4 linked regions of the Arabidopsis thaliana genome follow. The protein of the gene in region 1 interacts with the protein of each later gene in a pairwise test. Each region holds a gene or a part of one and is shown on either strand. Other genes may lie near its edges.

Region 1 (5,376 bases):
TACCAGCAAGGATTTGAATTTGAGTTGTTGGAACTTTAATACATAGTTGAGTAAAGAAGAGGCTTACACAATGGAATCTATCGTGTTAACTACTTAGCTTTGCTTCAATCTCAATTTTCAGTAACTACGTAACTCTTCAGATGCAAACAAAAAAATCTCTGTTCAGTGTTTAATATTAGTTAACTTTTCATCCAAATAAATATATTAATTGACTATAAGAAAGAAATCGTGGAAACCTCTTGGTCTAATGGTTGACCAAAAGTTCATTAATGCTTTTACATCCAGAAGTCTAATGTTCCAGTTCCAGCTACTGCGATTTATTAGCAAATTTGCAGATTAATGGAAGCACGTATGCATGATATCTACAACGAAGTACAATTATAGTCGTTCGCCAAGATTTTATGTAGAGAAGATATTGAAGGTATCCATCAAGCGCATGGAGAAAGAGAAGAAGATATCGACATTGATGGAGGAATTGTAATCCTTCTTTTGTCCCCAACACACATGCCTGTGAAATTTTTAAAACTTGAGAGCAATACACCATTTGAAACAAAGTGATGAAAACCTTTAGGAGGACGAAACTAAGTTACCATTTAAGCCAACATCCCATCCCTTAATGACTTTACCATGACCTGCATGTAACAACAACTTCATAAGTATCACGTACCAATCACATAACTCCATCCCTTAATTGCCATATCACATAAGTATTAAAAGGTGCTTTTCCAATGGTGGAATCGAAGATCTTCCCGTTCTCTTGAAGCTTTCCGATATAGCGGACACTAACCTGCTTGGTCATCTGCTATGTAATGACAATTCTATAAATACCCTGACTTGCGTTTTTTTGTTTCTACCTTGTTTGTCATTATCTAACTCCATCTCCACACCTGACTTATACTCTGGCTCAGCTTTTCTTTGGGAATAGGAAAACAGTCTTTGGCGTGTATTTGCTTAGTTCCATTCGCATTCTCATATTAGGTAGGTTTATCTTCATCTTCTAACTCAACGGTAATTTTTATTTATATATAAATATACCTTCACATTGAACAACTTTTTACATAACATCGTTTAGGCCCTTTTTCTTCGCCCTGTATGTATGTGATGTTTTTTTTATATCCAACTATTTTAGTATCACACACGAACATATACTGTAGTCTACAGCCTACTACATGTATATCTAACCGAATTATCTGTAAAGTAAAATTGTCTTACTTCTTTAAACCTAAACTAAATTCACAAGAACATTAAGAAGAAGAAAAAAAAAAGACTTTGAACTAAAGCAAGAGAGGCTTCTGAAGATCAAACTCTGTTCTAAGCAAACTTTCTTCATCATCTTGTTTCATTTCATCTATTTCTTCACAATCCTCTTTTCCTTTAGCCCACAGAACGAAGTAGAGTCCTCCGAACATCAACGCCATTCCCGCAAAGCTAATTTGACAGAGAAAAACAAACAAGAAAGAAGATAAATGACTTCTCTTTCTGTCTAAAAGATCATACAATGAATGCGAAAAGCTGCAAAAATGTACCTTCCTAGGTTGAAACTCTCTTCCATGGTAAAAGCAGAGACAACAACACATACCACAGTTGCAATTGGACTAAAGAGAGACACAATCACTGGTCCTTTCCTCTTAATCACCCATGCATTGAAGCTTAACCCTCCTCCACTCACCAACCCTCCCTAGAAAAAAAACAAAAACATTTTCAACACATCCAAATGTTGCCAACCATATATGATTTATGACGTACCAGTATTGCGTATCCCACAAGGTGGCCGAGACCGATTACTGATGCACTTCCCATTTCCATACTTCCCTTAAGAGCATACTGCAAAGCTACTGTGGTGATCCCACCCATCAAAGATACCATCGAGAACATTGATATAGGCGCCGGAAACTCGGCTAGTATGGATGCCTAATTAGGACGATCAAAGTGATTTCACAAGCAAAGAATCAGATTAATTAGCACAACCGGATATATGATAGCTCTAGGGCTAAGAAGGGGTATAAGGTGAAACCTGAAGGACAATACTAGAGGACAAGCCGCAAATGGCAAGGAGGAGATAGAGGCAACCTAAGATCTTGTCCTTGTCCACAACGACTTCGTCAGGGACAATAGGTATAGTCTTAACCGAGCTTAAAGTAGCGGTAGTACTGTGCATTAAGCTCATAATGAGAGCTCCCATCACACACAACACTGTCCCTCCCATCTTAACTCTACTATACATACAACTTAGCTTCACTTTCTCCATCCTTAACAATTACAATTTATTCAAATAACACATTAATGAAAGCTCTAATCTTCAAACACTAAACAGATTAGATTAACACAAAAGTAAAAGATTTACCCAGCAGCCCAAGCAATGACAAAAATGAAAGCAGGGCAGAGATTAGGCATAGCTGTAGCCATTGAAGCAGAGGTGTGTTTCATTCCTTCCAAGAATAACCCCTGGAACAGAGTCACTCTGTTTCAAACACAACTTCTCTCTTAATTAATCCCTTGTTATGAATTTTTAATTCTTCTCCTTCTCTTTAACGTATAGAAGAAGCAAGGTAAGCATCTATTAATCAAAACATGCAGAAATAAATAAAAAGAGGAGTTTTTACCCAGCAAGAGCAACCAAAACTAGTTTTATCTTCAACTTGAAACTTAGACTTCTAGGCCAAAGCTTCCTACAAATACACACCACAAAAATCCAAATTTTTATTAGAAAAAGAATGTAGAATAAAGTTCGAAACAGAGATTTTGTAAATTAAAAGAAAGAAGAAGATACCTTTCAAGGAGAAAAGCGAGAGGGGTGATGAGAAGAACTGATGCAAAGGTGCATAAGATAACGATAAGAAGTGGGTCAATTCCGAGAGACAGCAACTGACTCAGTAGCTCCGAGTTTCCGGCGTAAATCACCTGAGCTCCGGCCAATCCTCCGATTATTCCTGCTTCTATTAACGTCTCTCTCTTCATCATTTTTTCAACACAAAAAAAACACGAAGAAAATAAAAAGAATAATAACGGACAAATCAGTTGGAACCCATTTGGTAACCGAACAGAAGGATTCGATTTTGTGGGGGAACTAAAAAAGCAGAGAAACACTAATTAAGTTTTTGGTTTTGTTGTTGTTGATAAATGAAAATAGAAAAGATGCTTTGTTTGTGATCTCTCTTTTTGGTAATGTGTAATGCTTGAAGTTGAAACTTTCTCTATCTTTCACTTCTTGCTTTTAAAGACATGTGTCCATTACATTGCATTGGTTTTATTATGGAGTGTCTCGCCATTATAGCTTTTTGGGGAAGCGCAGATTTTAATTTATTTTTAGTCTAAAACGGTGATTATTTTTATAACACATAGAGTCCTCAAATTTTGGTGCAATGGATTTAATATGTATGAAATAAGACAAAACAAAAATTTGAGAGCGGTTAGCTTAATTTGTTAAGAAATAAATATTTCGGTGAGTCTGATATTTCTTAAATAGAACAAATAAATAAATAAATAAAATTCGCCAAATCGGCTAGGCAAAAATTTAAGATTATTCAAATTGTCAAGATTTTTATTTGGGAAGTTGCCACTATATTAATAAAATTTGGAATATAAAACCATAGTTTTGATTGGTAAAATAACGTAATAAAAATAGCAAAATTATAAAACAAGATTCTATTTATTTAAGACTAAAGAATAATATGTTTATTTTGTCAGTAAAGTCATTTAAAAAAAGGTGGAATGATCGATCATAAATCGCCCTCACACAAATTTATGTTAAAGATGAAATTCTGTACTACAGTGAAGTTTAAAAACATGCAGAGTATGAAAAAGAAAGATAAACCAAAAAGAAAGGAGAAGAAGGAAAAAAAGACAGATGCAATAAACTCCGTCAGATTCGGGGACCTTGGCCTTTTCTCGGGGGAGTAACAAAAATATTTATCAGTGTTCTTCTTTTGTTTGTATTCTTATTTTTGGATATATAATACGACATCTTACCATCTTCTCCTTTATTCGTTTTACGTATCTGACTATCTGTTCACTCTTTACTTCCTTCTTTTTTTCTTGCATGCAAATATGGAATGTCTTCATATTTGTATTTGTCACAGTCTCACAGATAAATCATATGTGTATGCCATGTGCCTACCTACCTATAATCATTTTTATTGGTAAAAAAAGCTTCCTATTCTAATATCCTTGTTAATGCTAATGAGATGGTTTAGTGATCTGTTTTCATACCGAAATGTTTTAGTTATTTAACCCAAAACACCAAAGGATGGTTTAGTGATTCGTTTTCACACCGAAATAGTTTTATGATCAAAATATTTTCTAGGGATCAGTTTTAACTAGAAAACTAGACTAGAGTCTATAACGAATTAGTTATTTTATAATAAATGATGTGCCTATGAAAGATTTTTAATTGGAGATGTATAATATTGGAGATGTTGTGTGGAGTGTAAAATATGGTAGGTGAAGCGTAAGATAAGAAAAAATGAGGAGTGTAAGAAAGAAAAGAGCAAAAGTGGGGATGCTTACACGTCAACAATCCTCAGTCTCTTTTCCAATGACTTGTGAAGCGTGTTATCGTCTCTCTTTTCTCCCCCTCTTTTTTTCCCAACAAATATAATATGCGATCTATCTAAATATATTAAGTTAAGAGTTTAATCTTTATCCACATACATTTTTTTCTTTTGTAACATCTGTTATCCATATCATGAAAATTTAATGCGTTTAAAAGCTTAGAAACATTTCACGCTGACCAAAAAAAAGAAAAGTTCACGCTCAAAACACTTAAGACTTAGTTTTATAGACCCTAACTAGTATCAAAACCCCTTGGTGTGAAATAAAAGGCATCTTGAATATGCAGAAACTCATATTAGCTCCTAAACCGGTTCAAAACATTCTAATGACTAATGAGTTGTGCCACGTACGAACAGACAAAAGGTTACAGTCTCAAGTTCTGAAGTCTGTGAACATACATAGTCTTCTCACGTGCCCACGCGTCTACAACTACAACCGTCGCCAACTCACGTGACTTTTTACCTCTTCTTTTTTTTTTTAATTTTTTTTTAAACCACTTTTTGCTTCTTCATACTACGAATAATCATGGTAAAGCTTTATGAAAGATTATAAAAACCATAGGACAAAGAAAACAAAATTTCGAACATCTTAACCAGTTTTGTTCTAAATTATGATATTACAACAATAATTTAAATTGTTTAAACCCTTCTCAATGAAATGTCCTTCTTCTCGTGGGATTGTCCTTCGATATCTTCTCAAAAATGCTTTTTCCTTTTACCTACGCTTATATCTGCACGATAAAAGTAGAAAATACCGAGTTAAACCAACAAATTACAATTTATGTTACTGGTAAATTTCATGTTTATGATGAAATGTTTCTTACCT
Region 2 (3,859 bases), on another chromosome or scaffold:
TAAGATCCAAATGAACAGACAAAACCAAACAGAAAAGACTTCTCAATGTCCAATGAAGAATTATGGAGTCAACTTGTTATGTCTTGCGTATGTTTCCCAAATTTTCTTGTCCTATTCTCTTATGGAGTATTAGAGTAATATGCTTATTGTATGGTTTTTCAGGTTCACAACCTTTTACCCAATTCACACAGAAACCTCTTTTCTTGACCACATTGGTAATGACACTAGCCGAGCATTCAAGATATACGTTTGTCATATATACCTTGTATTTGATTTTGTCTCTAGAGTTGACTAGTTTCTTACAATCACTGAATTTTCCTCTATTGTTTATCCACATGATGTATTTTTTTTGCGATACCATGTAGATTTTGGCTATTGCTACTTCCGGAGAGCTCTCTCTTTGTTTGTGAATTTGCTTCATCCTTCTGGTGAAGGTATACTTTTCATATCCTCTGCTTCTTCCTAATGCTGACCTAACTAAACCACTCCTTTTTCTCCACAGCTCATTTACAAGCATCCTGCCAAATGTTGGTTCTCTCAAATTCTGATTCCAAACCTGTACGCGTTCGCTGATTCAACTGTCATTTCGTTTCATAAGCCTATGACCTACCTTTAAGCGTTCGCGTTCGCCAGATGACTCGAATCTCCCGGAATATGAACCCGTGCAAATCCTCTGACCAGCGACTAGCGGAACAGTTTGGAATCACACAAACTATTTCTACTTCGACTCAAGAAAATAAGAAGGAGCAAAGCATCAAAGACTAGCATTGGTTTTTGCACACAAGCTTAACACAGAGTGTAAATGGATGGTGTGATATTTATGTACCATTTTCATAAAAACTGAGACTTTTGTGATTCATAAGACTTTTTCATCTAAAACTCTCTGATGATAGATAATCTACACAATTCAGTGAAATTGCCAGATTACAGCCATAGCCATTGATTCAAAAGCAAATTCCTTTGGCAAAAACAGATAATTATAAGAATCAACCCAGAATATTCAATTCATAATTAAGATTCCGATCCACAAATATCTCATACAAACAATTCTGAGAGAGAGAGAGAGAGAGAGAGAGAGAGAGATTCAGAATCAGACCTATTTCTTAGAGAATTTCTTCTTCGAAGCAACACTGACAACTTCTGGTTTGGGATGCTTCTCGGCTTCGCTCGGATCTAACCATTTGAGAGGATGAAGATTGTAGAAAGGCCAATTAGGTACAGTAACCAAAGTCGTGAGAACAACACCACCGGCATAGATCAGCATCATCGTCCTGAACGATTCCGTTGTGTAGCCAACAACCACCGCTACAACGCCGGAGATCACCAGTAAGATCTGCATCAGCTGCTCCACCAGTTTCTGTCCTTGCCAATCCATTTTCTTCTACACAACGAAATCAAAAACCATTAGCGATTTGAATCCAAAGTTAAACAAAAGAGAGAATCTGAGAACCCTAATTGCACAAACCTTTAGCGATCTGATCTCTCACTGAATCTGTAAACCTGATTTTCAACAATGGGGAAGAAAAGAAAGGACTCTTGACATTTATGAGCTAAGACCACAAAATCGGTTTAAAAGTAAACCGGATAAAGTGGACGGTCAGATTACTCTATAACCGGGTGAACCGGCGGTTTTTAATGTGCCTTAATTATTTCGAGATTTTGTATATGTGCAAATTCTGAAACCTTGAAACAAGGAATATTTACATTTAAGTTTCTTTGTGTGTACCTCAGAATTAGAATGTTGCTACTTGTCCAGTCCATAATTTGTTTATTGGGACAACAACTTCAGTGATTAGATAATGTTTACTATTTTATAGACTGGTGTGACCAGATTGTAGCTTTAGCAGTGACCAGTATTCATAAACCAAAATCAAAGTTTTGGAGAACCAAGATCCATGGCATGTAGCTAAAAAGATTTGCATCAATTTAGAAGTCATAATTAAGATTTCTTCTCTTTACTAATGATAATTCAAGATACAAGCAATACATCAATAGGCCTTCTATTAACAACTCTACAATTAAACCTAATCTCACCAGGTCTCCCAGATTGCAAATCACCCAACTTCACCATGCCTTCTGCAAAAGCCCTAAAGAACTCATCTTGATCCTCACTAAACATCTTCACATACTCTCTCGTCACTAGATTCGTGTACAAAGTCTGATCAGAGTTAAGAAACCCTCTCCCTGAAACCAAGTCTTTGAAATACTGATTATCAAAAACCTGAGGTGTTGCATCTAGATCTCCAGTCACATTCTCATCTCCACCCAAAGGACAAAGCTTATCAAGCTTCTTACGGTAACTCGGTTCAAGAGCTGGATCCGGTTTACCAGAACCGGATTGGTTATAAAGTCTGAACATGATTGAAAAACACCGACCTTGACCTATTGAGTGTGACCCTGATAAAGCAACCATGTCTTTTACAGAAAGATTGAATCTTTCGAAGAGATCAATCAAGAAAGTTGCGTTGGCTCTTGGACTTGGCATTATATCGTCGGAATCTTGCTGACTCGCTGTTAAACTGTCTTTCCTCCCTAGCTTCACTTCCCAATCTGGTCCTCCTGTCTGGTTTTTTCAAAGACCAAAATTACAAAACCGAGATTTCACTAAACCGGGGAAATTGAATTTTGACTTACAAGAGCAACGGCGTCACGAGCGGCCATGATAACGATATCGGCACAAGAAACAGTAGCTGGACAAGCTTTCTCTAGAGCTTCTTTAATGTCGTCAACGACTTCGAAAGATCTTAGTGAATCGATGTTGGAAAGTGATAGTTTTTCACCAAGCATGTTTGGTGTGTCGTCAAGCAACAGAGATGCGTCACATCCCTGAATTTGATGATTCAAAGAAAAATTCAGAGAGGAAAACAGAGTAAAGATCAAGAACAGAGAGAAAGATTTATAGTGTTTACATTGACGAAACAGTCGTGAAATTGGAAACGCATGACGGAAGCGACGCTTCTTGCTTCTTTGATCATTGCTTTCTTCATTTCTCTTCTTACTATGGATTCAGCTTCAGGGCATGTCTCGCTGTAGAATCTTGGTCGGAGAGTTTCTCCAGTAACAACCACCGTCAAAAGTGTTAGGTAGAGGATGAGATGGGGAAGAAGAGACATACTTTTTTCTTTTTTGGTGTTGTGTTTCAGTGATTGAAGAAGAAGTAGAGACTTTGTTTGTTGGGTTATAAAGAGGTTTTTGGTGGTTTTCGAGAATGATACTAAAGGCTTTTGTGTTTATAGATGGAATTTGTGCAAGTGTGGTCTCTGGTGGTGGTGGGCATTCCAATTTCTATAATTTATTTCTTTAATAAATAGAAATAAATAAATAAATAAATAAAGAAATAAATTTTCTAATTATAGAATTGGTGCCAATGGGGGATTAGTGTAGTAATTTGGTAAAATTATGGGTTTGTGAAATTATTGAATGATGAATCTGAAGTAATGTTAAATGTTTGTTAAGTTTGGATTATTGCAGTGTATATTAGCTGGCAAAAATAAAGAAGATAAAAGGATAATTGATCAAATTTTTTTTATAAAGGTGTGAAACTTTTGTACGTAATTGTTAAAATTGGTAAAACATCCATTATACAGTATTTAGATGAACAGTACTACTCTCTTTGTTTATTATTGTATTTTGTAGGAAATTTTTTTGATTCGAAAAGATAGTCATTTTTAAAATTTCTATGCAATATTTATTACTAGTTATTATTGATGTGTAAACTTCAAGAAGAATAATATATTTCTAATCAACTTTTAATATGTTTTTTAAGATGTGTGAAAATCCTAAAAATACATTAATAAGAAACATCTTATGAAAAATAATTACTATTAAAAACATCTTAAGAAAAATCTAAATATATATT
Region 3 (3,543 bases), on another chromosome or scaffold:
CCAGCATCAAGTCTGGTGAACGTGCGCTCTTGCATGTTTGCTGGGAATTTAGCATATAGGAGAGATGGAAACTCTTCTTTTTCCCAATGTTCCATCTATAGCGGAATTGTTAGATGACGCTGAAGTTGTTGGATTTGATGAAACAAAGGAGGAACGTTTTTTCTTTAAGATCATTTGCTGATTCTTGTTTCCTTACCTGAACACTCCACAACCAAGCTTTTATCCCAAGCTCTTTGCTTATAGCTGACTTAGAGGTTGGATTGTACAGGGAAAAGCTCGCAGTGATATGACTATGGAGGAAAGGTTTGGTGCAGCACACAGAAGGAAAATGGATGGGGCTCTCTGTTTAAGGAGGATAAATTGGAGGAGGCCAATACGAAATGGTTAGGAATCTCTCTTTCTTTCTAACAATTACGGTCAAAGTTTTGGTTTTCAAGGCATACTCAGCGACTCTGCCCGAGGCTCTTGCATCTCCTTTCGGCTCTAAAACAAAGAGCCTTAACTGGTTGATAGTGTTATCGCAATGGTTGGTTTGCCTTTTCTGCCGGAGTTAAAGCAGATAAAGAGGTATGAGAAGCTTAACAATTCAATTATATAAGACCAAAGTGAAAGATCACAACTCTCAATTCTCCTATGTCGGAATTGAATTTCTTATCTTATTACTGATTTGTGCAGAATTTACAAGGAGGAGCTAGCTTAGCTACTACCATGAAGATTTGGGGAAGCTGAGATGTTGCCAGGAGAAGTAAGCACAAACCAATAGTTGAGAGATATAAACATAAACAGCAAAAGAGAGACTCATAAGCATCAGGTCCTTGACGTCTCCTTTCTTCTTCTCTGGCTTCAGATTCTTCCCAATCTTCCCAGCCTCTGAAATCATCCTTCTCAATGTTCTCTGGATCACTCCTTCATTCTCTTCTGGTAATTTCTGCTTCCGACAAGACATCACTCTCATAGATCTAACTCCGTGTCTGCTTGAGGCTTGTCTCTTTGTACGGTGGTTAGTGCAGAGTGGGTGGTAGTAGAAGGTGGTGGAGAGAGCCGCCATGAGAAGATGAATAGAATAATTGAAGAAAGTTTTTTGTTTTGGGAATCAAAAGTGAGCAGGAAAATATCAGAATCTTGATAGCTTAACGACAAAAATGATTTGAAAAATGGGTGGATAGATCTCATCTAACACACACACATGTAGTCACAAGGTACACGCCAATGCAAAACCAAATTGGCCGAATTTCTATTCGGTTCGTTTCAACTAATTCGGTTTGTTTCGATTTCTAAACCGAAAACCCAAATTTTTTGATCCAAACCGATTCTGAATGGCCAGGTAATCAGGTATAGTCGGAAGCATCTACAAATTCACAACAACAACACATTATGTCTGACTGGTGAGATAAATGATGACTGAGTGGATAAGCAAAGAATAAAATAATGTCATAAAGTCAACAACATGTCTCTGTGACTCTATCTCTATCCTATTATTAGATTTAATCAGATAACTTTAAAATCTGGTTGCTGAAAAAACCGTATCTCATTATTATATAAATAGAGAGAGAACAGCCCCACGTAAACAAATAGCGATAGAGCAACTGTGTCGATTGTCCCAAATAATTTTAAAAATAATTTCACGTGTCCCCATTTTGCTGACGTCATTATTCCCCTTTTTCCTTTTTATTGTCACATCAGAATTTTTTCTAACTCATTCATTTCAATCAATCTTCTTCTTCTTCTTCTTCTTCTTCCTCAGAGAAATTCTGTGTTGTTGTATACAGAGAGATGTTCTCATCTTCTACACTCGTTTATTCTCTATCTCTCTTCCTCTCTCTTTCTCTTCTCTTCTTCCTCTTCATCCTCTCACCACACATCCTTCTCTCTTCCTCTACCCTCATTTCCACCGCCGATGACCTAGACGACCTCTCTCTCTTCCACCGCGCCGTCGTCTCTTCCTCCACCAACAACAACCGTCGTCTCATCTCCCTCTCTCCAAATCCACCCCCAAAGATCGCTTTCCTCTTCCTAACAAACTCCGATCTAACCTTCTTACCTCTCTGGGAAAGCTTCTTCCAAGGTCACCAAGATCTCTACAACGTTTACATCCACGCAGATCCAACCTCCTCCGTCTCTCCTCTTCTCGATTCTTCATCAATCAACGCTAAGTTCATCCCGGCGAGAAGAACCGCACGAGCTTCTCCGACGTTAATCTCCGCCGAACGACGATTACTAGCAAACGCAATCCTCGACGATCCTAACAATCTCTATTTCGCTTTAATCTCACAACACTGTATCCCTCTCCATTCCTTCTCTTACATCCACAACCACCTCTTCTCCGATCATCATCAACAAAGCTTCATCGAGATCCTCTCCGATGAACCGTTCCTTCTGAAACGATACAACGCAAGAGGAGACGACGCGATGCTTCCTGAGATCCAGTACCAAGACTTCCGTGTTGGATCTCAGTTCTTCGTATTAGCGAAACGTCATGCTCTAATGGTGATCAAAGAGAGAAAGCTATGGAGGAAATTCAAATTACCATGCCTTGATGTTGAATCTTGTTACCCTGAAGAACATTATTTTCCGACTTTGTTGTCTCTTGAGGATCCTCAAGGATGTAGTCACTTTACACTCACACGTGTTAATTGGACCGGTAGTGTTGGTGGTCATCCTCACACGTACGATGCCTCTGAGATCTCGCCGCAGCTGATTCACTCTCTGCGGAGATCTAATTCGAGTTTAGACTATTTCTTCGCCAGAAAATTCACGCCGGAGTCATTGCAACCGCTTATGGAGATTGCAGATGCTGTGATCTTTAGGGATTGAATTCGGTGAAAGTAAATTAGGTATAACACTGAAATCTCAATGTGTAAATATGAATACAGTTTGAGAGTTTAGTTTCAATTTGCTTATCTTCTTGTTATTGTGTTCAGGTTTCAGATATCATCATAAGGAAGGTTTAGGAAGAAGCTTGTGTTGGCGCTCGAAGAAGAGTGGCTAAATAAAGATGAACTTCTGTGTGTGTGTGTGAAAATTGCTGTGTTTTTTAAGCTTTTGTGTGTCTCTAGGGAAGGTAGAGATATGGGAAAATGGATGTAAAAAAGAATGTAAATAGAGAGCCCCCAAAGGCAAAGTGAGAGCATCATCATTAAGATAAAGCCAAATCGGCTTTTCTTTTGTAATTCAGCTCCTTTCCACGGGAGAGAGAGGGAATGGCAAAAGTGTTGTTCCCTCTCTTTTGTTTCGAAAAAAGTGTGAATGAAAAGATCTTTGTTATTTCAAGTGTTTTTACTTTGATGAATTACTAATTGCAAAGTAACAAAACAATGGTGAAAATGCACCAAGTTATGGTCATATGACGTTCTTTTAATTAATGAATCATCTAGTCCAGCCCATTGATTGTGAACTAGATGGCTTATTGTTATACTGTCGGTCAGATTGTGCTTTTGTGATTTTATCTATTGGAGCGTGGAGAAACAGTTTAAAGTGGGAGACAATCTTGTTTTAGAATACAACATCGAAGACAACGTCGATGTCTTAGAAATCAGCGGTCAT
Region 4 (4,569 bases), 2.9 Mb from region 1:
GTTTTAAACAATCAACTTTTTTTAATCTTGATCCACTACATCACCACTCTTAATTCCCACTAGTCTCAAAGATTATGTAGAAAGTTTAAAGATTTTCCCAAATAACAATAAACAACTCTGATATTTGTTTGATAAATGTAAACAACCCGAGTACTACATGACCAAAGGGCAAATGCAAATTACTTATTCTCTTAAAGTCAAGCTCAAGCTGAAGTCTTGCACTTTCTTGGCCCATCCATATTGCTACAACTCTTTTTTGGATGATAGTCATGTAGACTCTTTCACATTTCTTGGCCCATTAGATTCTTTCATGACTATCATCCATATTACAAGTTGCTGCATCAAACATGTGAAATATGTTATCATTCATGTGAAAGATGTTACTAAATCTGGTTCTTTTATTATTTTACTGGAACCCTACCATGTGGAACAGAACATGCATTTTCATGACTATCAACCAAAACCAAAACCAAAACCAAAACCCCGAACTGAACATCATCCAAGAATATCTATAACTGAAACTGTGATTCAAAAGTTGAAAATTCAGTTATAAGCATGTTATAAAAAGTGGAAAATGAAAGACTCTTATAGAAGAAAGAAGATGAAGAAATACTTGCGATGATGGTGTTAGACCAGTTCAGTTCGGCTTAGATGTTGTTCTATCAAATTCTACACATTTTACAATTATGTTGCTAATGTTTGGTATTGGAAACACTTATTGACAATGTTAGCAACTTAGCATACCTATGTCCAGTTCAGTTATGTCTCTGTGATATTCAAACAAGATTCTGAGCTTACACATGTACACAATGTATTCTTCCATTGACATAATTAATGTTACAAGATACAATGCCATTGATACATAATAGATTACACATTTACACTGTTACAAGATCAAAGCTCTAGTGGTACATATAGAGATCATCACACATGACATAGGAAACAAGAAGAAAGCATATAGAATTAAAGATTGATATATTCTTAGCTTGATGATGATCAGAGAATATGTAGGAAACTTTATGTCTTGGACTTGAAAGGAATAGCTCTGATGACTATCTGATGGTACAGAGCAGCAAGCGCAGCACCAATGAATGGACCGACCCAGAAGATCCACTGCAGACACATAAAACAAAAGAGACAACAGATAAGAGCAGAATTATCAAAAATTCTGAGTTGCTATTTAGATGCAATTCATAACTTATCATACTTAGCACAACCGTTGATGTAATTAAAGAGGAAAACTTACATGGTCATCCCAAGCATGATCCTTGTTGTAGATGATGGCAGCTCCGAGACTCCTGGCCGGGTTAATGCCAGTTCCAGTAATTGGGATGGTAGCCAAGTGCACCAAGAAGACAGCAAACCCAATTGGAAGCGGAGCCAAGATCTGCAAAATGTTCGATAACCAAAAAACACATGAGCTCTATGTGAAGAATATGAACTCAACACAACTCAAGGATACTAGAGAATTAGCAACATACAGGGACATGAGAGTCTCTGGCACTTCTCTTAGCATCAGTAGCTGAGAAAACAGTGTAAACCAGAACAAAAGTTCCAACAATCTCTGCACCAAGACCTGAACCCTTTGTGTAACCATGAGCCACCACATTAGCTCCACCGCCATTCGTCTGGTACAGCCCTGGTTGAAACCCTTTAACCACACCAGCACCACATATAGCTCCAAGGCACTGCATTACTATGTAGAACAGAGCTCTGGTTAAAGATAGCTTCCTCGCCAAGAACAAACCAAAAGTCACCGCCGGATTAATATGTCCTCCTGCTCATTACCAAACCAATTCGCCACACACAAGTCAAAATCAGATTATGATCTTCACACAGAAGAAACAAAGTGGGGCAAACTAACCAAAGTTTCAAACTTTAAGAAGAAAATTACTCAAAGTTTCAATCTTTAAATGTGAAATTACTTTTAAGTATCAAACTTTCTTCATTATATCCAAGTTTCTCACAACCAAGTAACCCTAATTCCAGATTCCTTCAACCTAAATTCGAAAACTTTAAACAAAATTCAGAGCAAGAACAGATCCTGAACCTGAGATTCCAGCAGTACAGTAAACAAGAGCAAAGATCATGCCACCAAAAGCCCAAGCGATGCCTTGGATTCCAACAGAGGCACACATATTGGGAGCTCTCTTAACACCCATGACTGTCAAAACGGTGACGTAGAGGAAAAGGAAAGTGGCTATGAACTCAGCTATCCCTGCTCTGTAGAAAGACCAAGATTTGAGCTCGCCGGGTTCGAAAAACGGCGCCGGTGGTGGTTCCTTATAGTCCTTGCTCTCCGTCTGAGCCGCCGTACCGATCGGCTGTCTCTCTGGGAACTTGTTGGCTCCAACATTGACGTCTTCTTCTTTGCCTTCCATGTTTCTCTCTCACTCTATCACCACCAACTTTAGTTTGTTGTCTCTGTAAATTTGATGACTGGTGTATGTGGAGGTTTTATAGTTTGGTTCATTTAGGCAAAAATAATTATTAATTAAATTTGCTACTAATTTCCAAAATCTTATATTTGTTATTCATGCAAATTTCTAAATTATCAGAAAATGTGTAAATAAATAAATATAGTTAATTACTAATTATAGAAAATAAATTAGTGAATTTAGACTAAATTAACTTAATCTGTCTAAAATTTTTGTGATAGATAATTTTAATTGCAATGGTTGATATAGAGTCGCACTCAAGTCTCTTTTGATTGATGATTTGCATTTTTTTTATTGTCAATCATAACTCGTGGTTTATAAACCTACATTTTCCATGTAAGACTTTTAATTCGTTTAATGTTTAATAACGGTTTTCTATCTAGTTAGTCTTTGAGCATAATACTTAAATTAAAAAATGTTGTTTTAAGATAAGAATTAGAGGTAGGTAGTTGAAATGGACTGGACAACTAGGCGCGAAAACGATGCATAGAAGAAGATGGACATAAGATTAAGCAACTACCATATAATTTGTTAAAACAGAATATATTACAGCTCAAATGATGTGGACAATTCTAACATAATGTTTCTATCAATTATGTGAATGATATTATAGAGGAAATTATTGGATGTCAAAAATATTATAGATGAAAGAAGACACTTCACATGGAAAATGTTCGCCTTATCGATCTCTACTGTTTATAGATCAATTCATGGTTTATTTAAGTTCCTTTGTGTCACTACTGTGTTTTTTTTTTATATTGGGCTTTGATCTAAAAACTTTTTTTGGGGTCAATTGATCCATAAACAAGCTTTTCCTTTTTCTTATGGAATATACTTTATACAAAAAAAAGTACATTAAAAAAAAGAGAAATCTTACTTTAGCATCTACATATGGGCAATAGAGATAGAGGGAGATACATTTGTCATTTACTGTGTATAGGTTCTTTGGTGGTTATAAATGATCTCAGATTTATGTGACACAATAAATATAGTTGTTCTGCTTCATTTTTTCTTTTGAAAAATATAGATTAAGATCCTTGATTCATCATGAGGTATTCCAATAAACTAATTATCTTGCTAACTTTATCAACAATAGCTCTCATTTTAGTTGGAGAGAGTCACAAAACAATACCTTCGAAAGAGGAGAAAGAAGAGATGAAGAAGCTACTTACCTATCTCAATAAACCTGCAGTCAAAAGTTTCCAAGTAAATTTAGCCTTTCTTTTCTTAAATTTTCATAAAACATTACAAAAATTGTTGACTATTGTAACAATATTACAACTATCATCAAGTTACATTTATTTTCAGACCACACCAATTTTTTCTTGCTTTTGATTTCGACAGACTGAACATGGTTATATATTTGACTGCATCGACATTCAAAAACAGCTAGCTTTTGATCATCCTTTGCTCAAGAACCATTCTATTAAGGTTTATCCTACAAACCACGAAAAAATATCTATAAATAAAATTCTTATTAATGTTTGGATGGATTGAAATATAAATGCAGTTGAAACCCACAACTATACCTAAATGGACCAAAGATAACAACGCTTCTCATAAAACTAGTTCTCTGCCATTTCGACAAGATGACATAAGTTGTCCAGTTGGGACAGTCATTGTCAAAAGAATTATACTTGAAGATCTTATACGAGCTCAACGTTTGCAATCCTTACGATTCAACTATCCAGGACAAGTGTCTGCAAAGGACAAGAAAATTGATTTAACTGGTCATCATGTAAGAATCATTTCTTATTACACGTAGTTGAATTGAGATCGCCTTGTAACTTGTCCACAATGCTTATAATATTTTTTGATTATCTATTCTTTTTCTCTTCGGATTTTAGTTTGCCACAATTAGTTACAAAGATGACCACTATGGAGCAAAAGGAAACATTAACGTATGGAATCCAAACGTCTCACCTGATCAATTTAGTCTTGCGGCTATGGCTGTATCAGGCAACAAAGGATTTCAAAGCATTTCTGCTGGATGGATTGTAAGTCAAGCTAGACCCTATTTTTACTTATTTTCTAAATCAAAAATTTGGAACTAACATTCCAAAATATGTTTTTAGGTGTATCCAGGGCTAAATCAGAATAATCAAAGTCACTTGTTCACTTACTGGACTGT

The links.
Region 2: the proteins of UMAMIT8 (region 1) and AT2G22425 interact in a protein complementation assay, tested with the Arabidopsis thaliana proteins (one large-scale study listed by BioGRID).
Region 3: the proteins of UMAMIT8 (region 1) and AT3G52070 interact in a protein complementation assay, tested with the Arabidopsis thaliana proteins (one large-scale study listed by BioGRID).
Region 4: the proteins of UMAMIT8 (region 1) and PIP1;5 interact in a protein complementation assay, tested with the Arabidopsis thaliana proteins (one large-scale study listed by BioGRID).

Annotation. Positions count from the first base shown.
Region 1 is NC_003075.7:9,356,911-9,362,286, forward strand, and holds UMAMIT8 (nodulin MtN21 /EamA-like transporter family protein), read right to left. Parts: upstream 3,330-5,376; 5' UTR 2,962-3,329; coding exon 2,771-2,961; intron 2,670-2,770; coding exon 2,604-2,669; intron 2,562-2,603; exon of another isoform or gene 2,462-2,561; coding exon 2,345-2,461; intron 2,250-2,344; coding exon 2,015-2,249; intron 1,912-2,014; coding exon 1,747-1,911; coding exon of another isoform or gene 1,702-1,746; exon of another isoform or gene 1,679-1,701; coding exon 1,527-1,678; intron 1,429-1,526; coding exon 1,275-1,428; 3' UTR 996-1,274; downstream 1-995. Other genes in the region: AT4G16630 (DEA(D/H)-box RNA helicase family protein), read right to left, coding at 5,266-5,281, 5,375-5,376.
Region 2 is NC_003071.7:9,512,595-9,516,453, reverse strand, and holds AT2G22425 (Microsomal signal peptidase 12 kDa subunit (SPC12)), read right to left. Parts: upstream 1,760-3,859; 5' UTR 1,466-1,759; intron 1,382-1,465; 5' UTR 1,376-1,381; coding exon 1,097-1,375; 3' UTR 780-1,096; downstream 1-779. Other genes in the region: AT2G22420 (Peroxidase superfamily protein), read right to left, coding at 1,970-2,563, 2,635-2,826, 2,910-3,113. UniProt on the Arabidopsis thaliana protein: Component of the signal peptidase complex (SPC) which catalyzes the cleavage of N-terminal signal sequences from nascent proteins as they are translocated into the lumen of the endoplasmic reticulum. Dispensable for SPC enzymatic activity.
Region 3 is NC_003074.8:19,310,258-19,313,800, reverse strand, and holds AT3G52070 (RNA/RNP complex-1-interacting phosphatase), read right to left. Parts: upstream 1,084-3,543; 5' UTR 1,049-1,083; coding exon 704-1,048; 3' UTR 577-703; downstream 1-576. Other genes in the region: AT3G52075 (uncharacterized protein), read left to right, coding at 381-554; AT3G52060 (core-2/I-branching beta-1,6-N-acetylglucosaminyltransferase family protein), read left to right, coding at 1,774-2,814.
Region 4 is NC_003075.7:12,218,604-12,223,172, reverse strand, and holds PIP1;5 (plasma membrane intrinsic protein 1;5), read right to left. Parts: upstream 2,533-4,569; 5' UTR 2,382-2,532; coding exon 2,051-2,381; intron 1,778-2,050; coding exon 1,482-1,777; intron 1,388-1,481; coding exon 1,247-1,387; intron 1,114-1,246; coding exon 1,018-1,113; 3' UTR 705-1,017; downstream 1-704. Other genes in the region: AT4G23390 (NEP-interacting protein, putative (DUF239)), read left to right, coding at 3,486-3,644, 3,783-3,869, 3,949-4,176, 4,286-4,435, 4,514-4,567. UniProt on the Arabidopsis thaliana protein: Aquaporins facilitate the transport of water and small neutral solutes across cell membranes.